3 linked regions of the Sus scrofa genome follow. The protein of the gene in region 1 interacts with the protein of each later gene in a pairwise test. Links are inferred from orthologs where the notes say so. Each region holds a gene or a part of one and is shown in the gene's direction. Other genes may lie near its edges. The genes, in order: CLK3, SDCBP and OAS2.

Region 1 (9,664 bases):
CACGGACCCTGAGCCCCACCCATCCTTCTCCTCCAGCCTGTGCGTCTTGATGTCTGACTGGTTCAACTTCCATGGTCACATGTGCATCGCCTTTGAGCTCCTGGGCAAGAACACCTTTGAGTTCCTGAAGGAGAATAACTTCCAGCCTTACCCTCTACCGCATGTCCGGCACATGGCCTACCAGCTCTGCCACGCCCTTAGATGTGAGTTTCCACCTTCAGGTGGAGCATGGGGCAGCCACATAGCTGCAGCCAAGTCACCTGGCAGTCTTGCTCCCCATCATTCACACCAGCACGTTGCTAACTATTTGCTGAGCCTGAGACACCAGGGCCACTTTGGCTGAAAGGCCTTGAAGTGGGCGACTGTGGGGATGGAGAGGCTGCAGTCCCCTCCAGGGGCCTCCTGAGCAATCTTCTGCCCCCAGGCACTCGGGAAGAGGTAAAAGCAAAGAGCTGTTCTGAAATAGGCCTGGTACCCCCCCCACTCCCACCTTCCTGCTTAGGATGAAAAGGTCAAAGACTAACCTGGCAGACAGATCCCACCCACCACATAGACACCCTGTCTCACCACACTTCCCATCTGTCTGCCAACCTCACAGAGCATATCTGCTGGTGCCTATGCCCGGCACTGCAGTATTTGCAGTGGTTGGAACAGGTCAGAGAGGCTAGTTGGAGAGGAGGTGGATAGACCTAGAGCTAGACTGCCAGGCCTGCATAGATGATGGGACGGGGGAGCATTCCAAGCAGTGTGAGCCGCTTAGTGATGGCCCAGAGCCTGGCAGGTGCTGAAACTCACTCTGGTGAAGAGAGGGCCCGTGTTGGGAGAGGTGGGCTGCACCGTTGTGAGGGTCTTCAGTGCCAGGTGGGGAAAGTGGTGAGTGACAGAGTACAGCCATCAGTGTGATGGGGGTTGGATGAAAAAGGCGGACTCCGAGCCCCCACTCAGGGCTAGGGATGAGGCACAGGACTGGCTTTGTAGGTGGCCCTATGTTGGTTTAATGCTCTGTTGCTATCATCTTTTTTGTTGTCTTTTTTAGGACTGCACCCAAGGCATATGGAGGTTCCCAGGATAGGGGTCCAGTTGGAGCTACAGCTGCCGGCCTATGTCAGAGGTACGGCAACACTAGATCCGAGCCAAGTCTGCAACCTCCACCACAGCTCACGGCAATGCCAGATCCTTAACCCACTGAGCAAGGCCAGGGATTGAACCCGCAACCTCATGGATGCTAGTTGGATTCATTTCCACTGTGCCACGACAGGAACTCCTGTTCATATCATCTTGAGGTTTTTTTTTTTTTTTTTCTGGCTGGGGAAAAATTCCTCAGCATGCAGAAATTCCTGGGCCATGGATCAGACGTGCGCCACAGCTGCGGCCCAAGTCACAGCAGTGACAGTGCCACATTCTTAACCCCTCTTGCCACCAGGGGAACACCCTGAGATTCTTAGTAATTTTTGAATAAGGGGACGTGCATATTCCTTTTGCCCTGGACTTCAAATATTACGTAGCTCGTGGTGGGGAGTGGGAACCACCCCAGGGCTGATGCTGCAACTCTGGTGAGACAGGCTGAGGAGGCCTGGTCCCCCACAGACAGATGGAGGGAGGTTTTCTAAATGAAAAAAGTCTGCCGTATCCCCACTTCTCAAGTATCAGAATGCTTCAAGGTCCTAAGCACAGAGAACTCTGGAGAAAGAAGCCAGTGCAGGAGTTCCCATTATGGCTCAGCGGTTAACGAACCCAACTAGCATCCATGAGGACATGGGTTTGATCCCTAGCCTCGCTCAGTGGGTTCAGGATCTGGCGTTGCTGTGAGCTGTGGTGTAGATTGCATATGCGGCTCGGATCCTGCGTTGCTGTGGCTGTGGTGTAGGCTGGCAGCTCCAGCCCCAATTTGACTCTCAGCCTGAGAGCCTCCATATGCCTCTGGTGCGGCCCTAAAAAAAGGAAAAAGACAAAAAAAAAAAAGCCAGTGCAGCAGCAGTTCAGTCTGCCCGCTGGCTCACTGCTGAGGTTAGGGGCTGAGAGGCTCTGGCAGGCTGGCTTTGGGGGCGGGATCTGGCCCAGCGCTTGCAGCGAGGCCAGAGAAAAGTCCAGGTTCCCAGCATCCGCTTCCCTCCTCTCCTGCTTCCCCAGTTCTACACGAGAACCAACTGACCCACACAGACTTGAAGCCAGAGAACATCCTGTTTGTGAACTCGGAGTTTGAAACCCTCTACAATGAGCACAAGGTATTGGAGGGGGAAGGAGTAAGCCCCTGCTCCAGGGTTGGGTTACCCACCAGGGCAGACTCTTGACCCGGCTCCCCCTCCTTGCCCTTCAGAGCTGTGAGGAGAAGTCTGTGAAGAACACCAGCATCCGAGTGGCTGACTTCGGCAGTGCTACCTTTGACCACGAGCATCACACAACTATCGTGGCCACCCGTCACTATCGCCCACCTGAGGTCATCCTCGGTAAGTGACTGTGTAGCTCCCAACCCTGATAAAGTGGGCAGTTGTTGGAAGGTATGGTGCCTGTCTGCCACCTGGGGCTGGTGTCCTGAGTCACTGTGGCTGTTGACTTGGCCTTATCAAGAAAGGGACTTCAGAGTTTGGGGCAAGAATCATGCCAGGCAGTGTGGTAGTTGCCCTGTGACCTCCAGGCTGGGAACCCAGGGCTGAATCTCATAGCCTCTCCCATCTTGGCTTTCAGAGCTGGGCTGGGCACAGCCCTGTGACGTCTGGAGCATTGGCTGCATTCTGTTTGAGTACTACCGGGGCTTCACACTCTTCCAGGTATGGCCTCTCCCATGTCCCCCCACTGCCTTAAGCACTGCTGCTCTGACAGGCTGCAGCGGCCTAGTGTGGGAAGCCCTCCCACCGCTTACCAGCACGCATGGTGTGAGACTGACCCCTGAGGGTTCTAGGTGCCCAGGGGAAGGACGAGATCAGGGTGGCCGGAACACTCCGGGACTCTTGTGATCAGCCTTTCAGGATGGAGGCTTGGGATGGGAGGAACGAGCATTCCAGGCAAAGGGGCACAGCTATGAGCGAGGGCATGGAGATGGGCACCTTCTGGGGAGTGAGGAATGGAGCAGGAATGAACTCATGGGGTTCACCTGAACGGGGAGGGTCAAGAAGTCCGACCCTGACCTTGCAAGGAGAATAGGTTGGCCTCATCCCTGGCCCCAGGCTGCCACAGGTCAGAAAGGCTAGGACTGCTGTAGGTTTCCATCTCCTGGGGCAGGGAGGAAACTTTTGCCCCTTCTTCTCTGAGGGGGCTAAGGCTGGCACTGACCCCTGGTTGCTCTGTCCCACCCTTCCACAGACCCATGAGAATCGAGAACATTTGGTGATGATGGAAAAGATCCTAGGGCCCATCCCATCCCACATGATCCACCGGACCAGGTAAGGAGGCCTCGGCTCGGGGCCTTTCCTTCCTTCCTTAGAGAGACCTGGCAAAGCTGCTGTCCAGACCTTCCTGCCAGGTCAGCTCAGGATCCCCCACCTGGCCTTGCTGCTGGGCTCCTGGCTGCTGCTGTCTTTTCCACTGAAGACTTGACCCTTCCTGTCCTTCATTTTCAGGAAACAGAAGTATTTCTACAAAGGGGGCCTGGTTTGGGATGAGAACAGCTCTGACGGCCGGTATGTGAAGGAGAACTGCAAACCTCTGAAGGTCAGTTTCTGGCTTCCCCCAGTTCAATGCATGCCAAGGGGACCCCAGGCACTGGGCAGACACACAGCAGCGAGACAGGCCAGGCAGCCAAAGGCTGCCTCCTCACTCCAGCTCTATGGGAGTTGGGTGCTGGCAGTGGGGCTTCTTGCAGACTGCCCCAGAGGGCCCCTTAGCCCTACCCCATCCCCACAAGGTGGCTGTGAATGTAATCGGGGAGCACCCGGGGGGCCAGATGTCAGAAGCCCTTCTAGTTCCTGCCCCCCCCCCCCCAATCTGGGGAAGAACTTAAGCAGGACTGAGGTGGGATGGGGGGAGACCTAGACATGGCCAGGAAGCCGCTGTCAACTGCATTTGGTGCTCAGATGTGGATTTCACAGAGGTGCTCCCTACTCACCTGTCTGAACTTTGCGTGTGGGGCAGAGGCACCAAGCCAGGGAGACACCTAGTAGCCTGCCGAGTTCAGAGCAAACATGATTACTGGCATGAAGAGCTGCTCTCAGTCCGAGAGGGCAGTAGTCCTCCAGGCGGGGAGGTACCACTGCCTCCTCAGCCACACAGCAAGGCTTCCCATGGCCCTGTCATCACACTGAGGCACCTTGTGTCCCTGAGCAGAGTTACATGCTCCAAGACTCGCTGGAGCACGTGCAGCTGTTTGACCTGATGAGGAAGATGTTAGAATTCGACCCTGCCCAGCGCATTACACTGGCGGAGGCCCTGCTGCACCCCTTCTTTGCTGGCCTGACCCCTGAGGAGCGGTCCTTCCACACCAGCCGCAACCCAAGCAGATGACAGGCACAGGCCACTGCGCCAGGAGATGGAGAGTGGGACTGGGCTGCCCGGCCCTTTTCTCCAACCTCTACCATTGGCCCCAGGGCCAGAGCCACCCACGAACAGTGCAATGTGAAGGCAGGCAGGAGCCTGCAGGGGAGGAGACTTGATGCCCAGCTGCCAGAAAGCACAGATTTGACCCAAGCTATTTATATGTTGTAAAGTTATAATAAAGTGTTTCTTACTGTTTGTAACCCCTGGTACCAGTGTGTCCGTCTCCAGGCTCCCTGCCTTCTCCCTTCCCTACTTTATTAATAAAGTCTTTCTTAGTAGCTGAGCTTGTGGAGAGCTAAGTGTGAACTGGGCCAGGCACAGAAGGGCTAGCCAGTGAAAAGACCAGCAGCTCAGGTCCCTTGGGGCCCAGAAGAGCAGTTATAGCCCTGAGGTGGTAGGTCTGCTAAATAGTTCTGAAAGGCACCTGCTCCCCTGCTGGCCCTTGGCCCTCTCAGCCCCCAAGGAATGTAAGCAGTAGCCCCCTGTAGTCAGCCAGGCAGCACCTGGTTGTACCTATCCTTCCAGGCCTGTCCCTGGCTGGGGCTTGAGGCTGTATGTGCCCAATAACTGGTTTACTGAAAGCTGTCAAGTGTAAGAAAGAATCAAGGCAGGCTCCTAGGGCTGGGGAGGCAGTACCTCACTGCAGCCTAGAGAGCAATGCACCAGAGCACAGACTCGGTCACTCAGCTTTATTTTAGTGCTGGTTTTTGGTTCCCCAGAAGCTGCATGAGTGATGGTCTCAGCCACCTGACTGAGGACTGAGCATCGTGGGCAGGATGCCCCTGAAAAGAGCTGACAACAGAGGAACATGCTTTTCTCTAACACCACTGGGGAAGGCCCAGGCCGGGGTGGGGAGAGGCTCCAATGCTGCCTGGAGAGAAAAGAGGGAAAGCCTTGGCCACTAACAATTCCCTGTGGCTCCTCAACACAAGGCCAGCACCCCAGGGCCACTGTGACTTACTGGAGCAAGCAGAGTCTTCTGGGCCAGGGTTCTTCTAGCTCTTTTTCACTGCACCCAATCAGGGGACCTACCTGCATTAACCGGAAGCCAGGGCTGGGTTAACGACTGCTTACCAAAATGCCTGTAATCTTGCACTGCTCCTCAGTTTACAGCCCTGCTTCTATAAAGAGAGGGCCCCATGTGGGGAGCTTCTTGGCCCTGAGAGTAAGCAGAGGCTCAGGAAGGATATACAGCACGGGATTCACAGTCGCTGACCTTCCACTGCTAGAGACAATTCAGCATTTGAAGGAGGATGGGAGGAAAGGAGGGACCAGCCCTCTGCCCTGCCTCATCTGCTCCTGGCTATGCTCCTATAAGAAAGTGAAAGTAGCCTGAAACCCATGGTGCCAGGGCCTACCCTGTGTCCACAATCCTTGCCAAGCCCTTTTACTCACCCCCTTAACCAGAGTGAGTGGGCACAGAGCAGAAGCCTGAAGCCCTGAAAGAGGCTTTAAAGCACAAGCCTTTTGCAAGAGCCTCTCCCAGAAACTTCGGGGCATGGCTCCTGTCCTGCCAGCCTCCAGGGCCTAGGCCTGTGAATGTCCACGGGCTCAGTGCATAGGATCTGAGCAGCACAATGTTCTTCAGGCTGAGCACCCCCCAGCTAGCTCATCTAGAACTAGCCTCATTTTGGCATCTTTGAGACAGGGCGCTGGCCCTGAGCCTACTCATCTAGAAAGGACAAAGAGGGTTCAAGGCCCAGACACTGTAAAAGCTGGGGTGGAGCCCAAAGGGGAGAGACATGCACCCTGCTCTGGGATCACAGCTGCAGAGGACCACTGCAGAGGAAGGGCAGAGGGGGTAGAAGAGAAGACGGGTATGTGTGTGCAGGCAGGGAGCGGAGGGGAGTGGTGGCCTAGGACAGAAGCACCAGGGAGCCTCTTCTGGCTCAGCACCAGGCTCCCCCTGGGGCCTCCCCAATACTAAACATTAAAGCTGCACCCTGAGGGGTCTGGCCCCAGACTAGGCAAAGGCTCAGCCCCCAGCTAGAGAGTATGGGTTTGGGGCGGGGGGCACTGCTGGCAAGATGGGCACTGTGGTTCTCTAGTAACATAACCTTATACTACCTGTACTGAAGACAACAGAAAAACAGTAAAAAATTCCAATATAGTAAAACAATTCTGATGCCACCCCCACTTCTCTGCCTCTCAGAGTGATGGAGTGGGAAGGAGGAAGGAATCTTAGAAAAAAAAAATAACAAAAAACAAAACTCCAGCATAAAACTTAGATCAGCTCAGGAGAAAGGGTCAAAAGCCCCCAAATCAACTTATGGTGGGGCTCAGAGAAGACCTCAAAGCCCTCAGATTACATGGAGGACGCAAGTCTGCCCTCTAGTGGGCAACTGCAGCACAGCCAGTTCTACATGATCGGTAAGGGCTGCTTGGGGGGAGGAAGCAGGGGAGACAAAGCCACAAGCTCTGAAACAGAGCAAGCACAGGCCCCTAAACAGAACTGCCCCACCCCATGAGGCGCTCGTCCAGGTCCAGTGGCTGTAAACCTGAAACACAGTCTGTGAGCTGCCTATGTCTGTAAACAAAGCCCCATCTGACCACACGGGGGCTGAGTGTATGGATCCCTGGACCCACCATCCACTCAGCCTGCCACCTGCCCCGCACACCCAGTGGGGAGGCCTTCCCTGGCTAAGGGCAGGTGACAGGTCAGTTTTAAATACCATCTGTTCTCTCAAAGAAACAAATGCAAACGAAAAAATTGAACAAGGTCCATGAAGTTTCACATCCTTAAGGCGTTCGTTGTCAAGTTCAGTATCAGGAGCAGCGGGGGGACCGCAAGGTCCAGCCTGCCTAGAGCCCTTCTAGGCGGAGTGCAGTGGGATGACAAACTTGCAGCCAAAGGGCGAGTGGTAGTTGATGCCCACCTCCTGGAACACCTGCTGGGGAATGCCGATGTCGCACAGATAGACGCGGCCGGCATGCTCCCCTAAAGGCAGAGGCAGGCCCAGAGCCAGCGACCACTTGGCATCGATGCCCTGTTCAACTTCATGCACAGGAGGGTCTATGCTGAGTACTGGCGCTCGGTTCTGGTTGGCCCAGGCCACAGCTGCCTTGTACCAGGGCTGATCCCGCAGGAAGGCATTCTCGGGGCAATCCAGGCAGTTGATCACCAGGTCCACAGGGCTAGTGGGCAGATCTGCAGGTGGAAAGAGTGCCATCTGAAAACCCCTACGAATCAGAGAGCAGCCCAGGCAGGGGACCAGAACCAAGGTGGCCCCAAGAGTGATGCCACTCCACCACTCTGATGACGCTGCAGGGGCCACCTTTTACTGATTCCACCACTACCATGCTGCCTCCGCCACATCATTTCCCTCTCCAGTTACCCCAACAGCCTTCACACCGCTCACTGTAACAATCTTCTCTCAAATAACAGCTAAAATGATCATCTGCAACCTGAGCTGGATTATCTCTCTTCTTATCCTTCCATTGACTCTCCATCTCACCCAGAGTAACAGGTCAAATCCTTACAATAATCTATGATTAGACCCTAAATGTTTAAGTCTGCTACCTTTCACCCAACCCGCCAACAATCTCTATCTCCCTCCACTCCCTTCTTCCTTCCTTTCTTTTTACAGCCGCCCTGAGGCATATGGAAGTCCTTGGGCAGGGTGGAATCAGAGCTACAGCTGCTGGCCTACGCCACAGCCACACCAATGCAGGATCCGAGCTGAGCTGCAACCTACACCACAGCTCATGGCAACGCTGGATCCTTAACCCACTGAGCAAGGCCAGGGATCGAACCTGTGTCCTCATGGATACTACTGGGATTTGTTTCTGCTGAGCCACGACAGGAACTCCTCCCTGCTTTATTTGTCTCCATTAACACTTACTACCATCTGACCGGATAGAAATGTTACTTGTGGCCCATCCTAACCAGAATGTAAGCTCCATGGAAACACAGATTTAAGAGGAAAAAAAAAAAAAAATCCAAAAGAACAAAACCTGCTGCCAATATCCCCAAGTGTCAGGAACGGTGCCCATCTTGTAAATATTTGTGAAATGAATAAATGGGTCCCAACCTCTCCATCTGAGTGGAGAACGAGGAAGGTGAAGGGATGGGAAGTAGGCCGGTTGGCACCAAAATTATTTATCTCAGACACTAACTCCACTCACAGGGAAAGAACACTATGCTTGTGGTGCTTTTCCACCTGCCGCCACTGGGTGGCACTGCCAGACCATCAAACTACGGAGGAGGGAGAGGGCCTCGGCCTGGCCCTGTCCAAGTGCTCACCTTTGAGGCTAGATACTTGTTGGCCTTGGGTCTTGCTGAAGAGAGACAGCTCGTTGGTGATGGATTCCAGCATCTTCATGAAGTTGGGAAGGAAGAGGATGACCTGGACATCATGGTTAGCTAGATGCCTTCCACAGCTGATACCCTGAGCCCCCTTCACATGGGGCCCACATAGCAGGGCCACTGTAGGCCTCTGGTGAATATTTTTGGGATTCAATCTGGAACAGAAAGTAAAGGAGCATTATTAGCAGCAGGTCTGCCAATCCCTGGTGCCATATACCAGACAAGTGCCTCTCAGACCTGTTGCTCTCGAAGTTCTCATTAGTTCCAGTTTCAGAGGGGGACAAAATCCACTACAGGTTAGGTTTATACGGTGGCATTCCCACTGTCCCACACCCGAGTGTCACTTCATTTGCTGGGTCCTCTCACTAGGTAGTTCACCCAGATCTTGTTCCATATAACACTGTTCGCAGAAGGCTGCTTTCTGACCAAGAACACTTATGTTCTCACTGTGTGACCTAGTAGGTCCAAACTCTCCTTAGCAAAGAGCCTTGTCCACCTCTACAGCCTTCTTTGCTCTTCTTCTCCAACATGCCTGCTCCACTGCAGCAAGAAGACTGGTCTCATCATTTTCTCCTGCACTTGTTAGGTTCTTTATTGCTTCTACTCAAACTACTTCCCTTGCCCAGAAAGCCTTTCATCTCTGAAACTCTGACCTACCCTTTCTAGTATTACCATGGCTCAACTCTGAAGAAACTCACAGCAAGTACCAAAGAAGATAGTTCTACATCATCCTCAATCAGTTGCCAGTCCAAGTTCTTTACTGAGCCGCCAGTAAGCTAATAACAGCAATGTTCTTAATAGCATCTATTTCACAGGATGCCGGGTAGATTAATGGATGTAAAGCACTTGAAATAGGAACCAACACAGAGAGAGTATTCAATCAATGCT
Region 2 (11,490 bases), on another chromosome or scaffold:
TATCTGATATTTTTGAATTTCCCCAATTTCCTCCATCTGCGCTGTGGTTGACATCAGGACTACAATAATAGTCCCCTGTGTGTCACTGTGCATCCCACACTTACCCACTCTTCCAGTCTACCCTCCAAGCAGTAACCAGAGTGGTCATTTGAAATGCAAATCTCATCATGTCACTCCTTTCAGAAGCTCCTGGACGACCCTGCCTACTTCTCCAGCCTCACCTTCAGCCATCCCTCTCATACTGTGTGCGCTGTGCTGACCAAAAGGGCCTTTCCAATCCTGAACCACATCAAGTGTCACTTTAACCACAGTGCTTTTGTGGTTGCTCTTCTCTTTGCTTGACTCACTTTCCCTCCATTTGTCACTTAGCAAACTCTTACTCTTCTGCTTAAAAGCCACATTGTCAAAGATGCCTTCCTTGAACTCTTAGGCTAATTTTTGTTCCCTTATAATGTCTTTCCATAGTTGCTCAAGCTTTTTTCTTTTTGGCCACACCTGAGGCATGTGGAAGTTCCCAGGCCAGGGATCTAAGCTGCTGGGTCCTTAAAACCCACTGAGCCACAAGGGAACTCCAAGCTTTTTCTTTTTTAAAAAAATTATTAAAGTTGGAGTTCCCATCGCGGCGCAGCAGAAATGAATCCGGGAGTTCCCGTCGTGGCTCAGTGGTTAACGAATCCGACTAGGAACCATGAGGTTGCGGGTTCGGTCCCTGCCCTTGCTCAGTGGGTTAAGGATCCGGCGTTGCCATGAGCTGTGGTGTAGGTTGCAGACGCGGCTCGGATCCCGCGTTGCTGTGGCTCTGGCGTAGGCCGGTGGTACAGCTCCGTTTCAACCCCTAGCCTGGGAACCTCCATATGCCGCGGGAGCGGCCCAAGAAATAGCAACAACAACAACAACAGCAAAAGACAAAAAAGACAAAAAGACAAAAAAAAAAAAAAGAAAAAGAAATGAATCCGACTAAGAACCATGAGGTTGCGCCTGCCTCAGTGGGTTAAGGATCCTGTGTTGCTGTAGCTGTAGTGTAGGCCAGCTGCTGTAGCTCCGACTGGATCCCTAGCCTGGGAACCTCTAAATGCCGTGGGTGTGGCCCTAAACAAAAAAAGAAAAAAAATTATAGTTGATTTATATTGTTTTAATTTCTACTGTACAGCAAAATGATTCAGCTATACATACATGTATTCTTTTTCATGTTCTTTTCCATTATGGTTTATCACAGGATATTGACTATAGCTTCCTCTACTATACAGTAGGACCTTGTTGTTTATCCATTCTCTACATACCCTTGAGCATTTTCTTCAACACCTATCGCAACTCTATTTGTGTAATTATTATATTTTAATAGACTTTTTTTAGAACTGTTTTAGGTTTACAGAAAAATTCAGGAAATAGTACCAAGAGTTCTCATGTACTTCCATCTCCCCAATTTCCCCTTTTCTTAACCTCCTGTGTAAGTGTCTGAACATTTGTTGCAATTGATGAACCAATCTTGATACATTATTGCACATCAGGGTTCACTCCTGGCTAGCATGTGTTCCCTTCCATCAAGGGTTCTTTGACACCATGGTGGGTGTCCCACAATTTCATTTAATCTGGCACTGCTACCCAGAGTTAGTATCAGTTCCTACTCCTCAAAGGACAGGATCTCTAATGAGACTGCACCCACATCACATAAGGACCACAGATGGCATCTTCATGATATCTATTTCTGGCCAATGTGGCTACAGATTTAGAGACACCCACAATGCCCCTTCAAGTTTGAACAGTGACTCACAGAACTCACTGGAAGCACTATAATTCTGATTGCTGTTTTGTTATAAAGTATACAAATAAACAGCCAGATGAGGAGACACACAGGACAAGGTCCAGAGGAGTCCCAAGGGCCGGAGCCTCTGTCCTTGATGAACTGGGGACACTCTTCTGGCAGGTAAATGGATACATTCACTAACCAGGACGTGCCATCAAGCACAGATGTTCAGACTTTTTCTTTGGAATTTCATTACACAGGTATGATTGACTGAATTATTGACCCAGGCATGAACTCAGTCTTCAGCACCCTCTCCTTCCTGAAGGTTGGGGAGTGGGGCTATAGGTACCAACCCTCTAATCGCATGTATGGTCTTTCTGGTGACCAGCCATTATCACAGAGCTTTGAGGAGCCCTCTCTCCTCAATCCCACTCCAGCCAGGAGCCACCTCATTAGCATAATTACGACATAACCACCCTTGGAGGTTCATGAGTTGTCAGTGGGGTTTATTTTGTTTTTTTGTTTTTTTGTCTTTGTGGGGTTGCACCCATGGCATATGGAGTTTCCCAGGCTAGGGGTCAAATCCGAGGTGTAGCTGCCAGCCTACGTCACAGCCACAACAACACAGAATCCAAGCCACACCTTCAACCTACACCACAGCTCATGGCAATGCCAGATCCTTAACCCACTAAGCTAGGCCAAGGATTGAACCTGTGTCCTCATGGATGCTAGTCAGATTCGTTTTCGCTGAGCCACGACAGGACGTCCAACTCAAGGGTATTTGAAGTTCTGATCCAAAACTGGGGACAAAGGCTAATATATATATACACACACATAGTTTTACCACATGCTGTCCTGTCTGTGGTTTTCGATAAATCCATAATGTCATGTGTTTACCACCATAGTATCATATAAAATAGCTTCATCCTAAAAAAATTTCCTTGGGTTCACATATCTTATCCCATATTTTCCAAATCCCTGGCAACCACTGTTGTTTTTACTGCCTTTAAGTTTTTACTTTTCCCCCCAGAACGTCACATAGTTGGGATCATACAGGATGTAGCTTTTTCACACTAGTTTCTTTCACACAGCAATATGCGTTTAAGGTTCCTCCATGGCTTGATAGTTCATTTGTTTTCATTGCTGGATGATCCATTTATGGACATAACAGAGTTTATCCATTTACCTGTTGAAAGATATCATGCTTGCTTCTAGTTTTGAGCACGTATAAATAAAGCTGCAGAGTTTTGTGTGGGCCTGAGTTTTAAACTCATTTGAACAAATATACATGAGCAGGATAATTGGTTCATACAAAACTACATTGAGCTTTTTAAGAACTTCCAAATTGCCTTTTAAATTGGTTGTACTTTATATTCCTCTCAGCAATGAGTGAGAATTCCTGTTGCTTCACATCTTCATTGCTATTTGGCATCGGCATTGTTTTGGATTTTAGCTATTCTAAAGGTGTGTAGTGGTGTATTTCAAATTGTCATTTCACTTTGCAGTTCCCTAATGTCATGCTGTTGAGCCTCTTTTCATACACTCATTTGCCATCTGTAGATCTTCTTGGGCGAGGTGTGTATTCAGATCTTTTGCCCAGATTTAAATTGGGTTCTTTTCTTACTGTTGAGGTTTAGGTGTTCTTTGAATATTTTGGATGCAAGACTTGATCACATATGCATTTTGCAAGAGTATTTTCTCCCAGTTTGTGACTTATCTTTCCATTCTCTAAACAATGTCTTTCACAAAGAAGAAACTTTACATTTTAATTAAGTCTTATCTTGTCATTTTTTTTTTTTATTTCTGGCGTGGATTGTGGTTTTGGTGCTTCATTTTAAAACTTATGACCAAACCAGAGTTCAACTGGATTTTCTCCTAGGTTATCTTCCAGAAGTTTTATCGGTTTGAGTGCTAAGTTTAGGTCTATGACCTATTTCAAATTAATTTTTGTGAAAAGTGTAAGGTCTTGTCTAGATTTTTTTTTTCTTGTGAATACGGAGGTCCAGTTGTCCTAGTACCATTAGAAAAAACTATCCATTGGGAGTTCCCATTGTGGCTCAGTGGGTTAAGACTAGTATCCATGAGGATGAGGGTTCAATCCCTGGCATCACTCAGTCAGTTAAGGATCCAGCGTTGCTATAAGCTTTGGTATAGGTCGAAGATGTGTCTGGGATCCTACATAGCTGTGGCTGGCAGCTGCAGGTCTGCTTCAGCCCCTAGCCTGGGAACTTCCAAATGCCACAGGCGTGGCCCTTAAAAAAAAAAAAAAAAAAAAAAAAAAGACTACCCATTAAATGCCTTTGCTCTTTAGTCAGAGATCTGTTGAATATATTTGTGCATGTCTATTTCTGGGCTCTGTATCCTGTTCCATTGATTTATTTTTCTAGTCTTTTGCCAATCCCACATTGTCTGATTTCTCTAGCTTTATAGTAGGTTTTGATGCTGGGCAGAGTCAGGCCCATGACTTTGTTCCCCTTCTTCCATTTTGTGTTGGCTCTCTGAGCCTTTTGTATTCTGTAAAAACTTTTTAGTCAGTTTGTTAGGATTCAAAAATAATTTGCTGGGATTTCGACTGAGATTGTGCCAAATGTATCAAATTGGGAAAAACTGATATAAGACAATAATGTGTCTTCCTATCCAAGAACATGGGCTATCATTACATTTATTAGTATAATACTATGGTTTCTTTCATTAGAATGTTTATACTTATCCTCACATAGATTTTGTGCATTTTTTGTCAGTTATACCTAATTATTTTATTCCATTTTTTGGTGCCAGTATGAGTGATATTGTGCCTTTAATTTCAAATTCTAATTGTTTACTACTGTTATATAAGAAAACAATTGGCTCATATGTTAAACTTGAATTCTGCTACCTTGCTATAACCACTTTTTTTTTTTTTGGCCAATTCTTTGGGACTTTCTATATAACCCATGCCACCTGTGAACAAAACTAGTTTTATTTCTTCCTTCCCAATCCAATTAAATATCTATTTTATCACCTAGACCTCAGACTCTGAGGGCACAGTCTACATATTACATACTTGTCACCTCTTTTATGCTCAGACTTTTACTAGTTTTGCCCCAGATTAGGTTATTGTGTACTAAATAATTTAGCTAGAAATAAAATGCTTCTAAGGTAATAAATGCTATTTTGTCAAGTGCTCTGTTACTCCATGGTAAGTATGGAAAATTTAGGTAAAGTGTGCCTCAGTGTCTTCACAAGCTAAAGATGTTGCCTCAGTGTTCTGTTTTGCCTCAGCTGGTTAAGGACCCAGCCTTGTCTCTGAGGATGCAGGTTTGATCCCTGGCCTCGCTCAGTGGGTTAAGGATCCAGCAGTTGCTGCAAGCTGTAGGTCACAGGTGAGCCTTGAAACCGGTGTTGCCCTGGTTGTGGTGCAGGCCTGCAGCTGCAGCTGTGATCCTACCTCTGGCCTGGGGAAGTTCACAAGCCAGTACCTGCAGTTGTTAAAAAAAAAAAAAAACCAAACAAACCAAACACAGCAAGAATATCTCAGATAGACGTAAGGATCAAATAAGACTACTGTATACATCAAGTTCTTAGGACATCTTCTGGAACATAGCCCTTAAGAAACAGTTTTTCACTTTTTGTGTTAGGACACAGCTATTGTGCACTACCTCACATAACCCTCAACAACCCGTGAACTTTAGCTCAGACGGGCAGAGGGTAAAAAAAGTCAAACAAGTTGTAACACAAAGAGGGCAGGGGTTGGGAAGGGTTAGAGAGAGGAAGGCTTCAGAGCCTGTAGGTAGAGCGGTCAACCGAGAGGGTGGTGATGAATATGACCACGGTGGTAGAAGTCCAAGGCTGGCCAAGAAATCGCCAAAGGCTAGGGTTTCGGGGCTCCCTGTGTTCGAGGTGATGGGAACCATCATGAATGAGGCAGACGAAGAGTGGCGTCGCTGGTCACGAAGTGCCCAGAGAGGGGAGCAGGTTGGCTGGGGGAAGGGGGGGCTCTACATCCCCAATCTCTGCAATAGTGGGGGCCGCTGAGCCGCCCGCGCCCTGTTACCCTGGCGACGGGGTCACCTGACAGAGCGTTGCGCGCCTGCGCAAGCGGAAGGGGGGAGCGGCGCGGTGACGCGCCTCACAGGCGGTCCTCGGGCGCGCGCCGCCTTCCTCGCTCCGGGTCTCGGAAGTCCGAGTCAGTGACCGGAGGCGGCGGCGGCGATCAGGTACCTACGGCCGGGGTGAGCACCAGGGGGAAAGAGGGGCGCACCCTCGGCGTCCCGGGCTCGGGGACGGAACCGGAGGGGCAGAGTCCCCGGGCCGCTTAGTGGAGGGGCGTCTCGGCGCAGCTACTCGCGTCGACGGCGACGCCCTGTCGTCGGTGGTCTCCGCGCCCCTCCCGGCGCCCGCGGCCCGGGGCGAAAGTTTGCGCGAGCGGCTCCCTTGGCTGCCGGCGACCCTGCGGACTGGGGGCCGGGGCCAGGACGGAGCCCGTGGTCGGCCCGCAGCCCCCCACCCGCGGCCGCCTCGACTCTTTTTGTTCCTCCCGGAGGCGGCCCGGGCGGTGAGGGGACAGCGGCGGCTCCGGTCTCCGGGTCGTCCGGGCGCCGCGTCCCCGGGCTCTTTCTCGGCGACCTCACCGCAGCGTCCTGTCTGGCGGGAGGTAGGAGGCGTCCTCTTGGGGTGAAGCCTTGACTTTGTGTGGGGGGGGGGTGGGGGTGGGGAGGCTGCTCGGGGCCGGGTTTCTGGACAAGCTGGAGGAAGGAGCCGCGGTTCCCGCTCCGCGGCTGCGAAGGAAACGTCCCTTGAGGGCTCGTGACTCAAAGCTTTCGTTTCAGGATTTCCTTGTAATGATGTGAGAGCAGAGCCCAAAGGATATGGAAAGTTTGCCTTTATCACCAAAATGGATTGAGTCATGGAGCCTTATAATGTGCCAACTTCTAAAAAGAAGTGTCTAGCTTTATCTAGTCTGTATGTAGTGTCTGCATAACTTGTGTACTGTTGTTTTTTCCACCATACACAGCTCTTAGTATATGTAGTTCACCAAACTCATAACACCCAGTTGTTTCAAAGGAAATAATTGGTTAAAAAAAGGAAATTATGTGGTAAAACAATCGCAGGCTGGTAATTTCTATCTCAACTATATATGTGATTACTTTAAAATTTGTCCATTCTGTAATTTTTAAAAATCTGAGGTTGAGGACAAACAGTAAGAATGTTTTGTTTTTCCCATTTTCCCTGTGGCCACCGTACTTTATAAACTTTAAATGGCGAGTAAATATTACGGATCATGTGGTTTTTGCTGCGAAATAAAAATAAGGAAATGCCTTTTAATAGGTTCAGGAAATAGTCATTCCGTTACAGTCTCTATTTAACTTTGGCAACAGTAATTTTTGCGATTGGGCGGTAGAAGAAGAATGTAAAAATCATGAGGAAGAACTTACCTGTGGTTGGCAATAAACCTGCTGTTGAAGAGAATAGTTCCTAAATGAACATGACTCACCTGTTGTTTTTCCTGTTTCTGCTGGATTTAGGTTCTTTCTTTTTTAGGTAGTAAATGCCAAGAGTTTCGTAAAAGATAGATTCTCCCAAACAACACCTGTTAACATTTAGTAATAGTTATCTTCGCATTTATTAATTTCTTTGCAAATGCCACCAACATTTTTTTGTCCATTTATTTAGTTTCCGAAGAGGTAACCAGTTAAATGGCTCAACATTGAATCAAAGAGTGGTATAAAGTGTCTCCCCCCAGCCCCTGTCAAGCACTGCTGTTCTTGATATCTTTATGATTTTGACTACTAAGGATCTCATAAGTGGAATCAGTTTTTGTCTTTTATGTGAGTGGCTTATTTCACTTAGCATAATGTCCTCAAGTTCACCCATGTAGTTGTGTGTTGCAGAATTTCCTTCCGTTTTAAGGCAACAAAATTACATTTCCGTGTGTGTGTATTCCACATTTTGCTTATCCATTCGTTTGTTGGTGGAAATTTGGGTTGCCTCCACGTTTGAGTTATCTCTGTGAATAATGCTGCTCTGAACACAGATATAAAAATCTCTCTTCAGATGCAGATTTCAGTTTTGGGGGGAGTATACCCAGAAATGGAATTGCTAGATATATATATAGAATTCTATTTTCAATTTTTTAGGGGAACTGCCACACTTTTTTTTTTATGGCCCCTGTGCCATTTTGTATTTCCACCAACAGTGAATAAGGGTTCAGATTTTTCCACGTGTCACCAACACTTTTTTTTGATAGTTGTCACTCTCGTGGGTGTGAGAGTTGGTATCTCATGGTTTTGATTGGCATTTCCATAATGATTAGTGATTTGAGCATCTTTTCGTGTGCTTGTTGGCTGTTCTATATTCTTTGGAGAAATGTCAAGTTAGGATCTTTGCTGATTTTATGTTTTTAATTTTTATTTTTTGTTTTAGGAGTTCTCTAAATGTTCTGGGTATTAATCTCTTACATCTGATTTGCAAATTTTTTTTCCCCATTCCATGGATTGTCTTTTTACTCTATTAGTATTTTTTTGTTTGTTTGTTTAAGGGCCGCACCTGTGGTATATGGACGTTCCCAGGCCAAGGGTCAAATCAGAGCTGCAGCTGCTAGCCCCAGCAGCACCAGATACCAGCTGCATCTTTGATTTGGCAACTCCCGAATCCTTAATTGCAGCTCCTGGCGATACCAGATCCTTAATCCACTGAGGGAGGCCAGGTGTGGAACCTGCATCCTCATGGATACTAGTTGGGTTCATAGCCACAGTGGGAACTCCCATTGTTAGTGTCTTTTGATGCACAAATTTTAAAAATTTTCATGAAGACCAATATATCTTTTTTCTTTTGGTACCTGTTCCTTTGGTGTCATATCCAATAAATCTTTGCCGAATCCAGCGTCAGGAATCTTTTGTCCTGGTTTAAGAGTTTTTATTGTTTGAGAAAAGTCTTACATTTAGATCCTTTATCCATTCTGAGGTAATTTTTTGTACCTATGGTATTAAGTGAGGGTCCACCTTCTTTCATTTACATATGGATACCCAGTTTTCCCAGCACCATTTGTTGAAAAGACTTGTCTTTTTCTGTCGAATGGTCTTGGCACCCTTGTCAAAAATCATTTGACCTTGTATATATACAAGAGCTTATTTCTACACTGTCCATTCTGTTCCATTTGTAAAGACGTATCTTTATGCCAGTACTACACCATTTTGAAATACTGTAGCTTTCTAGTAAGTTTTGAAATCAGGATGTGCAAGTTCTACAGTTTTTTTTTCTTCCCAAGATTGTTGGGTATTTTGGGTTCCTTGAAATTCCATATGAATTTTAGGATTTTTTTCTATTTCTGAAAAAAAAAGTTGAGGTTTCAGTAGGGATTGCATTGATTCTGTGTTATTCCTTTGGATAGTATTGACATTTTAATATTAGGTCTAGCAGTCCTTGGACATGGGATAGGCTTACATTTAGTTGTATTTTCTTTATTTTTTTCAGCAGTTTTTTGAGGTTTTTATTGTACAAGTTCTTTACCTCATTGATTAAACAGCTCCTAAGTAGTTTTTTTCTTTTCGATGTTACTGTAAATGGAAATGTTTTTGTGTTTTCCTTTTTAGATTGCTCATTATGTGTAGAAATGCAGCTGGTTTTCCTGTTGACTGTTGTGTTACATTGCTGAATTCATTAGTTCTATGTGTGTGTGTGTGTGTGTGTGTGTGGAGTCTTTAGGGCTTTCTAAATCTTAAATATAATAAGGTCATATCTAGAAAGAGTTAAACTGTACATCTTTTCCAATTGGATGCCTTTTGTTTCTTTTTCTTGCCTAATTGCTTATGGAACTTCTAGTATTATGTTGAAGAGTAGTTTTGAAAGTGGGCATCCTTGCCTTGTTCCTAATCTCAGAGAAAAAAATGTTTAGTCTTTCACCTGTTTGAAACACTCATACATTACTGCTAAAATGTTAACTAGTACAATTGTACTATAGTTTTGCACATACGGCTTTTATTATGTGGAAGTAGTTTCCTTCTACTCCTATTCCGTAGTGTGTTTTTATTGTAAAAGGATGTTGAATTTTGTCAGATGACTGTGTTTGTTCTCTTCATTTTGTTGATGTTACTTACATTGAACAGTTTTCATATGTTGAACCATCTTTGTATTCCAGAAATAAACCCCATTTGTTTAAAGGTGGCTAATCTTTTTAATGTGCAGCTGAGGTCGCTTGCCTAGTATCTTGTTAAGGATTTTTGCATCATTGTTCATAGGGGCTGTTGGTCTGTAGTTTTCTTTCTTGTGTCTTCATCCAGCTTTGATGTCAAGGTAATGCTGTCTGCATAGAATGAAAGTGTTCCTTCTCTTTCATTTTTTTGGTGTAATTTTGAGAAGGATTGGTAGTAATTCTTCCTTAAGTGTTTAATAGAGTTCACCTATAAATTGGTCATGTCTAGTGCTCTGCTTTGTTGAGAGATTTTTGATTACTGATTCGGTCTCTTTACTGGGTATAGGTCTATTCAGATTTTCTGTTTTCTTTGTTGTTTAATCTTGCTAGATTTTGTTTCTAGGAATTGGTCCATTTCATCTAGGGTATCTAATTTTTTAGTGTACAATTCATAATGCTTTCTTACCTGTTTTATTTCTGTAGACTCAGTGGTAATATTTCAGACTAACATGTTGTTTTCTCTTTTTATTTCTTAGTTCATTTAGCTAAAGCTTTGTCACTTTGATATTTTTGAAGAACCAAATTTAGGTTTCATTGATGTTCCTTTATTTTTCCGATTCTCTGTTTCATTTATCTCTGTTCTAATCTTTAATTCCTTACTTCTAGTTTGTTTAGTTTGTGCTGCTTTTTCTGATTCCTTAAGTTCCCCCTTTTAACACAAATGTAAGCATACTTTATATACTGCTCTAAATCACGCTTTGTTTTTTCTAGTTAATGATATTTTGGATCTCTGTCAGTATTTTGTGTAGAAGTACCTCCTTTGTTTTAAGAATTTTTGCTATTACAGTTGGTGTTTCAGTGAATAAACTTTTATTTACATTTTTCCCTTTTTGTGTGTAGATATGTTTGTAGACTAAAACCTGAAGTAGTATTACTGGGTTTATGATTTTGGTAGATATTGCAAACTCACTCTTTAGGGAAATTGTACTAGTTTACACTTGAGCAGTAATGTATGAGTGTTTCTTAAAGCCTTACTATCTGGCAGTGTTACTAACTTTGAATTTTTGCCAATTTAATAGGTGGGAAGTGGAATCTTATGGAAAGAAAATTCTACTTAGAGTGGACTTCATAAGACCATGTTCTCAATGGCTTATCATTAGAATCTCCCTGGATATTTATTAAAAGAAGTATTCCTAAATCCTTCCAGGAAATCTGTGTCAGCCTGGGAAATTATTTTAACTAGTGCCCAAATAATTGTGATATGATGATTAACCAAATTTGAGAAACATTGCTGTAAAAGACTGTTTAGGATTTTTCAAAGTATGCTCCTTGATACCATATGTGAACCATCTGGAATGCTTATTAATCTTCATTGTACTAGAAAACATGGTCATTGCCATTTATCGATTGGGTCCAATGGATATTTTTTATTTTTGTTTTATATTTTAGATTACTTTATGAATAACTTGCAAAAGTGAAAATAAAAGCTTAGTGAAATAGTCTTAATTAGAAACAGAATTCTAATAAAAACTTGAATAAATGTAAGAAACCCAAATTTTTATTCTAAATTTTCCTGGTTTTGAAGATAGATGTAGCTGAAATGGGCAGCATCTTTTAGTACAGCTGATTGCTCATC
Region 3 (10,809 bases), on another chromosome or scaffold:
GGACACAAGAGTTGCATGTCTGTCTCCCCTCTAGCCTGTGCACTCCTGGGCTTGTTTTTCATCCATGCTGGGTGGGGTAAGTGCCCAGGGAAATCCAATAGGTATCCATGTGTGTGCTGAGGAACGAGGCACACAGAAGCGGACCTTTTTTGTTGTTGTTGTTGTTGTTGTTGTTGTTGTTGTTGCTATTTCTTGGGCCGCTCCCGAGGCATATGGAGGTTCCCAGGCTAGGGGTCGAATCAGAGCTGTAGCCACCAGCCTACGCCAGAGCCACAGCAACGCGGGATCCGAGCCACGTCTGCAACCTACACCACAGCTCACGGCAACGCCAGATCCTTAACCCACTGAGCAAGGGCAGGGACCGAACCCGCAACCTCATGGTTCCTAGTCGGATTCGTTAACCACTGCGCCACGACGGGAACTCCAGAGGCAGACCTTTTGAGACCTGTGTTTGCTCAGTGGCAGAACTGAAACCTGAGTGACTGAAGCTTTGCCTTGCTGTGTGTCCCTGAACAACAGACCCGCTTCAGGGTCTCTTTTGTCTCGCTGTGCTCATTGATTCTGAGTTCCAAGGCCACTGGGAATGGGGAGAAGGGAAAGAGCCTCAAAAGATGACCTCTGGGAAAATAATCTTTTTAAAATTATAAATAGAGATATAACTGCCTCATTTTGCTATACACCTGAAACCTAACACAATATTGTAAATTTATAAGTTATAGTTCGATGGAGAAAAAAAAAAAAGATGTCCTCTGGCCCCCTACGAAATATTGTTAAAAAGTATTTGCTTAACAAATACTTTATAGCCATCGTGTGCCCGGTTCTGTTCCAAGCAATATGCAAGTATTTAATCCTTACATTAAAGCTATGAGGAGTTCCCATCATGGCGCAGTGGTTAACGAATCCGACTAGGAACCATGAGGTTGCGGGTTCAGTCCCTGCCCTTGCTCAGTGGGTTAACGATCCGGCGTTGCCGTGAACTGTGGTGTAGGTCGCAGACGCGGCTCGGATCCCGAGTTGCTGTGGCTCTGGCGTAGGCCGGCGGCTACAGCTCCGATTGGACCCCTAGCCTGGGAACCTCCATATGCCACGGGAGCGGCCCAAGAAATAGCAAAAAGACAAAAAAAAAAAAAAAAAAAAAAAAGCTATGAGAAAGGTACTGTTGTTACCCCCATTTTACAGATAGGGAAATCAAAGCACAAAAAGGACCAACAATGTGCTCAAGGACACAGATCTAGTGTGTATCAAGCCCTCATGAGCCAGCGCCGGTGACTCCCCTTTTCACTACAGCAGCTGAGAGGCTGGCCGATAGTCATAGGGGCGGGGAAAATCCTGAGGCAGTCAGCTGGAAAGGCCCTGTGAGTTTCCTTTTCCCCTGTGATGAGTTTCGGTTTTCTGGCTCTGGGCATAAAAGTTCTCTTTCTCTTCTGCCTCCAGCTCAGCCATTAGCTGTCTTCTCAGCAGCCAGCCAGAGCAATGGGAAACTGGGGGTCCCATCTCTATGACCGGCCTCCTCAGAAACTGGGAGAGTTTGTCCAGAACAACCTGAGACCCTCTGAAGACTGTCAGAAACAGATCGACCAGACCGTGGACACCATCTGCAAAGTCCTGCAGGATGCTGAGCAGTTGCCCCTGGTGATAAGCGTGGCCAGAGTGAGTAGAGGGCTGGGGTCAGGCCTTCAGGGAGCCAGAGGGAAGAAAGACTTGGTGCTGAGCACCTACTGTGTGCCAGGCCCTGGGCACACAGACATCATCATATTCCCCATGCTGCTCAACTGAGATGGTGGGATACAGTACAGAGTTTAGGAGTACAGGTTGGGAGCTGGTTCTGCCTCTTACTACTGTGTGACCCAGAGCAGTTTGCTTAACCTCTCTGTGCCTTAGTGTCTGAGTCTATAAAATGGGAGAGCAATAATACTCATCACAAAATGTTAAGAGGCTTGAGCATATAATGTTCTTGCACAGGGCTTGGTACAAAGTTAGCACAAAAGAAGTTCCCATTTGGGGCAGCGGGTTAGGGATCCAGCATTGCCGCAGGTTGCAACTGTGGCATGGGTTCGATCTTTGGGCCGTAAACTTCCACATGCTTTGGCACAGCCAAAGAAAAAAAAAGTGAAATAAATTAGCTGTGATTACTGTTATTGCTTCTAATCTCCTTATTTTCCAGAGGGGTAAACTGAGGCTAGAAGACTTCAGTAAAGCTTCCTACCGATGCTCTGTGGTTTCAACAGCCAGGGGTGGGGCGCTCTCATCAGTTAGAAATGTTTGGTGCTACAGACACAAATCCTGGGGCTGAGACGGAAGATTCTGGACCTTTGGAGAAGAAAGGATGCTGAGAAGGTGCTAAGACCCTAGGGTAGGGAGAGGGCATTGTAGATGCCCAATCCCAGGCTCTCCAGCACTGGAATCCCGCTTCTCTGCAGTCACAGCGCTTTCTGGCTTCTGCCCTTACATGCATCCACTAGCCCCAGCAGTAAAGACATCCGAGCCTTTGGCGTCTTCTGCCTGGGCCCAGATGAGGAAACTGAGGCACGGGGAAGTTATTTAATAGTTGATATCCAATTTGGGATTGTAAGCGCTAGTGATCCGTTTGGGAGCTTGCACCCTTAACCCGAAGCCATCCTACCTCTCAACATTGTTAACTTTTTTCTAACACACGCAGCGCCGGGCGGCAGGGGAGTGGGGGCGGGGGCGGGTCGCCAAGCCGCGCGCGTGCGCGTGTGAGGCAGGGCGCTCCGCGGCCACCCCAGCGGAAGCGGAAGCGGAAGCAGGTGGAGCGCTAAGACCGCGCGGCCCCCGCTGCAGAGGCTTGAAAAATGCTCTCCTGCAGCTACCTGCTGTGTGCACAGATTTTGTCGGAGACTTGAAGGGGACGGAGCTTGACGCAGCTCTCTCCAACAAAGACCGAAATCTCCTCTCCGAGGCCTAAAAGAACGTGGTCGGTGCCCGGCGGTCTTCCTGGAGGGTCCGCAGCAGCCTTGAGCTTTAGAAAAGCAAGGCCGATGAGAACGGCGAAGGTGCAGGCTTATCGGGAGAAGATGGAGAAGGAGGGCTGGAGACGGGGTGCAAGGACGCACTGGCTCAGCTGGACGACCTCCTCATCGACAACTACACAACGGTTTCCTGTGCAAGGAAAGGTCTTCTACCTGAAGTTGAAGAGCGACTACTCTCGCTGCCTGGCCCAGGCGGCTCCCGGCGAGAAGGAAAACAGCGTGACCTAAGCCTTGGAAATCGGCAAAGAACATGTGCACCTGACGCACCCAGGCGGCTGGGCCTGGCCCTCAGCTTCTCCGGGTTCTATTACGAGATCCAGGAGGCGCGCAAGCAGCCCTGCCTCTTAGCCAAACAGGCCATCGAGGATACCAGAGCCGAGCTGGAGTCCTGCAAGGACTCCACGCTCATCATGCAGCTGCTGCGAGACAACCTCACCCTCTGGGCCAGCGACCCGTAGGACTGGGAAGCCAGAGAAGGCAACCAGGCGCCTTGCTGGGCTGACGGTTGCCCCGAGCCCAGGGGAGCTCCCTTTTCGAATCGTGCAGACAGGTGCGTCCAGCTGGTTTTACCACAACTGTCGGTCTAGGTAAAAGGCAGGAGATAGCAGTGGGGAAGTTAGGAAGGAGAGTTAGCCAGACAGGCTGCAGTAAGTATTCAAGGAATTCAGTGGGTAAAATAAATACTACTTTGGGGATATGATTTCCAAAACAAGCTGATAGCATTTCCTTAAGCAGTACTGCTGTGCATGCAAAAATGAATTCACCCCTCTCACCTCTTTCTTCAGCTAATGGAGAACAGGGGAAGCTGAGACCCTTGATTCTGTCAGTCAGCTTAATAACCATTTAATGTGCGGTTTCAGTAGTGCCTTGTTTGTTTTTTTCCTTTATACAGCCACACCTAGGTCATATGGAAGTTCCAGGCTTGGGGTCCGATATGACTGTAGCTGCTGGCCTTCACCACAGCCATAGCAATGCCAGATCCAAGCTGCCTCTGTGACCTACACTGCAGCTTGCCGCATCCCTAACCCACTAAGCAAGGCCAGGGATCGAACCCGCACACTCATGGAGACTATGTCAGGTTCTCAAACCACTGAGCCACAATGAGAACTCCCAGCACCTATTTTCCCTCTTTAAATTATGACATGGACAAACCTTTTCAATGCAATGCATCTAAAATTTTGATACCTGTGACTTTGGGAGTGTGTATGATTGTTTAAGAATCATAGATTTTCTGGAGTCCCCGTTGTGGCACAGTGGAAACGAATCTAAGAACCATGAGGTTGCGGGTTCCATCCCTGGCCTCGATCAGTGGGTTAAGGATCTGGCGTTGCTCTGAGCTGTGGTGTAGGTTGCAGACACGGCTCGGATCTGGCATGGCTGTGGCTTTGGCTGTGGCATAGGCCAGCGGCTATAGCTCCGATTCGACCCCTAGCCTGGAAACCTCCATATGCCACAGGTGCGGCCCTAAAAAGACAGAAAAGACCAAAAAAAAAGAATCAATGGATTTTCTTTTGTAACTCTTTGGCTATCGTCCTTGTGTATCCTGACAGCGCCAAGTGTGTCAGCCCATGTCAATCATGATGGGTGATTACAAAATGCCAGACATATATTAAATGTTTTGGAATTCAGTGGGTAAATAAATGCTACTTTGGGGATATGATCTCTTAAAAAATAATACATACAAAAAGTACACAGGAGGTTCCCATTGTGGCTCAGTGGGTTATGAATCCAACTATCCATGAGGATGTGGGTTCAGTCCCTGGCCTTGCTCAGTGGGTTAAAGATCTAGCGTTGCTGTGAACTGTGGTGTAGGTTGCAGATGCAGCTCAAATCCAGGATTGCTGTGGCTGTGAGGTAGGAAGTACAGATCCAAGTGTACAGCCTTATAGATTGCCACAAACAGCATATATGTGTAACCTACAGCCAGATGGAGAAATGAAATGTTTCCAGCCCCCACCCAAGAGCCCCTGAACCTCGCATCCAGTCACTACCCCCAAGCCCAAACAACCACTCTCCTGACTTCTAACAGCATAAATTCTTTTGGCTGGTCTTTAAACTCTGTATAAATATAAGGTGACCAGCTATCCCATTTGCCCAGAACTGAAGGGTTTTCTGGGACATGGGCCTCTTGGTGCCAAAACTGAGAATGTCCAGGGTAAGCCAGACAGGTTGTTCACCCTATGTAAAAGAAATCGTGCACCATGCAGCTTTAGTGGGGTTTTGGACCCATCTGTTGAAGAAATGTGTGTGGTTATGGGCAGCTGTTGTTTATCATTTCGTTGTTGTCCTGTATTCCATCATGTCGATACACTGCATTTGTCCATTCTGTTGCTGGTGGCCATTTGTGGCCTCCAGTCTGGAGCTGGAATGAAAAGCGATGCTGGGGGCGTCTTGGGTGGTCACATGAACCAGACTTTTAGGCTCTGGTGACATGGAGCTTTTGCTTGTGTTGAGAAACATTTCTACCTGCTGGGGCACCCTGTGACCCCCCCCCCCCCCACACACACACACACACAAATGGTTCAGAGGCTCACATCGGCTTCTCTGTTGCTGACAGGGTGGCTCGTACGGCCGGAAAACAGTCTTGAGGGGCAACTCTGATGGTTCCCTTGTCATCTTCATCAGTGACCTTGAGAAATTCCAGGATCAGAGTAAAAACCACTCTGAGCTCCTCAGCCAAATCTGGGCACAGTTGAAATGCTGTCAGCTCACAAGGAAGCTGGAAGCCAAGATGGAGATCCAGAACTTCAACAGTGGGCCCACCACCATCCAGCTGTTCGCTAAAGAGCAGAGCATCACTTTCAAGATCCTGCCCGCCTTCAATGCTCTAGGTGAGCCCTCCTGGGTGTGTGTGGGGTGGTGGGGTGTGTAACAGGTCTGGAGGGGCTTGTGCAGAGAGCAAAGCCAAAGAAAAGGGTGGTGGATAGCCTGAGGGTGGCATAAATACCATTGGTGCTTTCCAAAATGAAGGACTTTCAAGAGAGGCGCTTCCTCCTGCCCTGAACTTACTCTCTTCTTTAGAATGACTCTCCGTCTTCTAATTAGGAGAAAATGTTCTAGACTCTAGAATCTAGAGCTTCTCACACTGTGACGTGCACACAGATCATATGAGCAACTTGTTAAAATGCAGGTTCTGATTCAGAAGATCTGGGTCCGGGATTCTGCTTTTGTTTTTTGGTTTTTTGGGTTTTTTTTAAGGGCCGCACCTGGAAGTTCCCAGGCCAGGTGTGGAATCAGAGCTATAGCTGCTGGCCTACGTCACAGCAACAGTCACAGCAACAAGGGATCCGAGCCATGGCTGTGATCTACATCGCAGCTCATGGCAGCAGTGGATCCTTAACCCACTGAGCGAAGCCAAGGATTGAACCCATGTCATCATGGATACTAGTTAGTTTCATTATAGCTGAGCCGCAATAGGAACTCCAGGGATTCTGTATTTCTAACCAGTGCCATGATGTTGCTTCTGGTCTGTGTACCATACTTGAGGATTTAGACTAGAATAAATGTTCATTAGAGGAAGAAGATGGAGCAGACATCTGGGGAGAGTTTGGATGGGGCAGATTTTTGACATCTGCCTTCTAATCAGGTTAACATTGATGCAAGGATTTTCCATGGGTAGCTATTTGAATGGATAAATGTTGGGGAGTTCCCATCGTGGTACAGTGGAAACAAATCCAACTAGGAACCATGAGGTTGTAGGTTCGATCCCTGGCCTCCATCAGTGGGTTAAGGATCGGGCCTTGCCGTGAGCTGTGGTGTGGGTCTCAGACTCGGCTCGGATCTGGTGTGGCTGTGGCGTAGGCCAGCAGCTGCAGCTCCAATTAGACCCCTAGCCTGGGAACCTCCATATGCCGTGGGTGTGGCCCTAAAAATACAAAAAAGAAAACAAAAAAAAAGGTAAATGGTTGGATGTATGGATAGGTGGATAGTTGGATGGATGGATGGTTGATTGAATAAACAAGTCTCAGTAGTTATAGCTTAGTCTATAGGTACATATATTATCACAAGCTGAAAATGCACTAATTTATAAGGTAGGCAGCCCCGAATTCTTATCCTGCTCCCACTATAACCCACTTTTGCCATCAGTAAGATCAGGCTAGAAACGGCTACCTTCTAAGCCCTTTAGGACAATAAGGGTTGAGAATACTTGCCTGCCTCAAACCGGGGCTGGAGTCAAGGTGAAGGGGCACAGTGTCACTGAGAATTCTTGGAAATCCTGTTCTTCCCTCTGGTTCAGAGCCGGGTGGTTGGAGATGAGGCCCGGGCGCCCTCTGCTGGGTTCGCCCATCCTTCGAGGATGGTGTGAGAAAAAGAAATCAGCTCTTCCTCATGTGTAAGAATCAGAAGCTGCCACCAGATGGCGGTAGAGCTACACATTCCAAACATCCCTTTTCTAGAGGAAAACAATCATGGTTGCTTTCTGAGAAAAGTAACCTAACTGGGGGATTTTAAAATTACTTTTTACTAAATATGAGCCTAACTAATCTGGCCTGCTCTTCACACCAGCTCCAAGCCAACCTCTTTCACCTCTACGTCCCTTTCCACAGCCATGTACCACCACTGCTCTCTCCCCAGGGTCTTTGACCCAAAGCACGACTCTTCTATTTACTTGACTTCTTGGTGTTTCAGCTTCCTCATCTGTAAGTGAGCAGCTGATTGCACGAACCACATGAGAGTTTTGTGAGGCTCACATATTTCCCTCTACAGGAAGGGCTTAAACTGTGCCTGGCATAGAGTAAGCACTCAGTCCATGTTAGCTGTATTATTGTTGTTATGAAGACGGCGGAATGCTTTTTCCGTCCGCCTCTCTGCCGCAAGTGCACAGAACCATGCCTGGCTGATAGTAAGACGTCAGTAAGTATCTGTCAAGGTGAATGATAAGAATAATCCGGCTGCTGTCTCCTGGTTTATCTAAACCGTAGGGCTCAGCTGGCAAGAAAGGAAACCCTATGATTAAATTCTGGACTCTCTTGCCATCTCCTCCACTGTCCTTGCTTTCTCGTTTCCCTACCAGTGGTGTTCAAACTCCGGTGAGTATCAGAATCAGAAGGGAAACTTAGTAGAAAATACAGAGGCCCAAGTGGGGATACTCTCTCCCACTGGAGTATCCGATCTGCAGAGCTAATATGGAAAACTCTGAGTCCCAGGCTCACTGACCCAGGAGGCTCCTGGGCCTGTGTTCCCCGATTGGCTCCACAGCAGGATTCCGGGAGGCACCCAGTTTGCCCCTCGTCAGCCCCATCTCCTGGGGTTCCACTCTGCAGGGCGTGCGCCTGCCCACAGGCCTTCATCCCCAGCCTCCAGCACTCTGCCTTCACCCTGCCCGCCTGCACCCTTGACCCTCTGATTTAGAAATTCACTGGACAGGCTCGATAGCAGAATATACCACATGAGGTATATAAACATTATTGTCTTCCAGATGGGTGCCAGCGGCGCCAGGGCCATTTTTTTAAAGAAACCATCCTTTCCCTACTCATTTGGATCCCCCCTTTTGCATTTGTAACTGTGTCTCCTGTCCCTCCGTTTGGTCCTACTGACCTTTCTTAGGACAGCCCCATACCGTGTCCATAAGACTCATTTTAGAGTCTATGCTTTATTGTCTAGCAGGACAAGCCACCCCTCACCTTTTACGCAAATCTACCAGTTCTCTTAGGGACGAGGCAGGGAATGTGTGGGCTCACCAAGGTCAAGTTCCATGAATACTAAAAGTTCCACGGGTCTCTTTGATACCAGGCTTAAGTGAGAAGCCCAGCCCCTGGACCTATCGAGACCTCAAAAGATCCTTGGATATGATGAAAGCCAGCCCTGGCGAGTTCTCAGTCTGCTTCACTGAACTCCAGGAGAGGTTTTTTAATAACCTTCCCAGAAAACTGAAGGATTTGATCCTCTTGGTAAAGTACTGGTATCAACAGGTAAATTTCAAAGTGCGCGTCTATTGCTACATCCATTTCCCTTTCACTGAGATAATTCACATCCGGCAAAGTACAGCAAGCTGAAGAATACGGCTCTGCGCCTTTTTCTGTCCTTTTAGGCAACACCCAGATCAAGATGGGGCACATTTCCTGCACCCCAGCGGGCCGCCTACTCACAGGCAGTCCTCGCCCCAAACGAACCCTTGTCCTGACATTGGTCACCACAAATTAGTTTCACTTGCTTTTCACTCAGTGTCAATAGAATCAGACTATGTGCGTCACATCTGCCCTCTTTCGCTCCATATTATGCCTAAGAGGTTCGTCCATGTTGTTGCATGTGCTAGTGGGTGTTCGTTGCTTTGTTCTGGTCCCTTGCATTAATACACTGAACATTGACACATTCCACTGCTGAAGGAAATTTAGGTGGTTCTCAGATTGGGGCTGTTATGAATTAGGTTATGATGGATATTTCCCTACATGTCTTTTTGTGACTTTGAGCACTCATTTCTCTTGGGTAAATATGCAGGCATGAGACTGCTGTGCTGTAAGGCATACCATATGCATGTGTGTGTGTGTGTATGCACCTTGTGTATATGCGTTATAGGTATACACATACAATTAGGTGTATATGTAAATATACACGTACACGTACATGCCATGCCGTGTACCAGATCACACTGCCAGCAGCAATGTGTGACAGCTTCAGGGGCTCAACATTCTTGTCAACACTTGGAATTGTCAGTCCATCGAATTTGAGCCATGGTGTCATTTTGGTCATCGGCAGGGGACAGTGACTTCCTATAGACTTCCGGTTCCTTGATTTCGGACCCTTAGCATGGAAGGAACGGTCCCCATTTAACTGCTGCCTTTTTCTTTGCCCGCAGTGCCAGGAAAAGCTGGCGGTTTCATTCCAGCTGCCGGTGTATGCTCTGGAGCTGCTCACAGTCTACGCATGGGAACAGGGCTGTGGAGCAGAAGACTTTGACATAGCTGAAGGCCTCAGGACGGTCCTGGGGCTCATCAGGAAGCCAGGAGAGCTGTGTGTCTACTGGACAGTCAACTACAACTTCGAAGATGAGACCGTGCGCAACGTCCTGCTGGGCCAGCTCAGGGCGCGAAGGTAGCACGCCTCCCACCACCCCCTCTCCTTGCCTCTTCATCTGCAGGCCAGGCTGTGCCCGCTTAGAATAAGGGCGCTTCCTCATCCTCCCCCAGCTCATTTCTTCTCCCACCAGCAGCCCAACTGATTTTTTTTTTTTTTAATCCAATGGAATTTATAGGCCAGTAATCCTGGATCCAACGGACCCAACCAATAACGTGAGCCAAGATAATTCGTGCTGGCACCTGCTAAAACTAGAAGCTGAAACCTGGTTGTCTTTTCTGAACGAGTCACCTGGACCATCTTGGAATGTTCTGGTGAGAGGGCTTTTCCAAGCCAGTGCATGTCCTGCTGTGGGCAGCACACCCCCCCCCAGTCCCCTGCCCCCCACCAACACTCGGCCTGCGGCTTCATCCAGGCTCTCCATGTGTCAGTTTCCTAGAGTTGCCGTGAAACCACACTGTACACCGGTGGCTTAAAGCAACAGAAGTGGATTCTTTCACAGGTTTGGGGGCTCCAAGTCCAAGATCAAGGTGCCAGCAGGGCCGCGCCCCCTCGAAAATTTCCAGGGTCAAATCCTTCCAGGCCTCTCCCAGCTTCTGAGGGTTGCTGGCATCGTGGCTTGTGGCAGTAGCCCTCCACTCTGCCTCCCTTGTCACACAGCCTCCTCTTGTGTGTCCACAGTGCCTCCTGTCCCTGTGTCTCTCTCCTCTCTTCTAAGGACACCAGTCATACCAGATGAGGGTGCATAGTGGTGACCTCGTCTTAACTTGGTCACCTCTTTGCAAAGACCCATTTTCCAAATCAG

The links.
Region 2: the proteins of CLK3 (region 1) and SDCBP interact in binary tests that used the Homo sapiens proteins (3 or more experiments, as listed by UniProt). The two-hybrid records come from large-scale screens. The link is inferred for Sus scrofa from reciprocal best matches to the Homo sapiens genes CLK3 and SDCBP.
Region 3: the proteins of CLK3 (region 1) and OAS2 interact in binary tests that used the Homo sapiens proteins (3 or more experiments, as listed by UniProt). The two-hybrid records come from large-scale screens. The link is inferred for Sus scrofa from reciprocal best matches to the Homo sapiens genes CLK3 and OAS2.

The regions. Positions count from the first base shown.
Region 1 is NC_010449.5:58,890,422-58,900,085, reverse strand, and holds the end of CLK3 (dual specificity protein kinase CLK3), read left to right. Parts: intron 1-36; coding exon 37-203; intron 204-2,130; coding exon 2,131-2,225; intron 2,226-2,317; coding exon 2,318-2,447; intron 2,448-2,685; coding exon 2,686-2,768; intron 2,769-3,300; coding exon 3,301-3,380; intron 3,381-3,557; coding exon 3,558-3,648; intron 3,649-4,260; coding exon 4,261-4,437; 3' UTR 4,438-4,679; downstream 4,680-9,664. Other genes in the region: EDC3 (enhancer of mRNA-decapping protein 3), read right to left, coding at 7,284-7,618, 8,714-8,931. UniProt on the Homo sapiens protein: Dual specificity kinase acting on both serine/threonine and tyrosine-containing substrates. Phosphorylates serine- and arginine-rich (SR) proteins of the spliceosomal complex.
Region 2 is NC_010446.5:74,322,963-74,334,452, reverse strand, and holds the start of SDCBP (syntenin-1 CG9291-PB), read left to right. Parts: upstream 1-5,895; 5' UTR 5,896-5,955; intron 5,956-11,490. UniProt on the Homo sapiens protein: Multifunctional adapter protein involved in diverse array of functions including trafficking of transmembrane proteins, neuro and immunomodulation, exosome biogenesis, and tumorigenesis.
Region 3 is NC_010456.5:38,838,267-38,849,075, reverse strand, and holds the start of OAS2 (2'-5'-oligoadenylate synthase 2), read left to right. Parts: upstream 1-1,378; 5' UTR 1,379-1,473; coding exon 1,474-1,650; intron 1,651-2,921; exon of another isoform or gene 2,922-3,540; intron 3,541-5,547; coding exon 5,548-5,821; intron 5,822-8,723; coding exon 8,724-8,902; intron 8,903-9,786; coding exon 9,787-10,022; intron 10,023-10,182; coding exon 10,183-10,318; intron 10,319-10,809.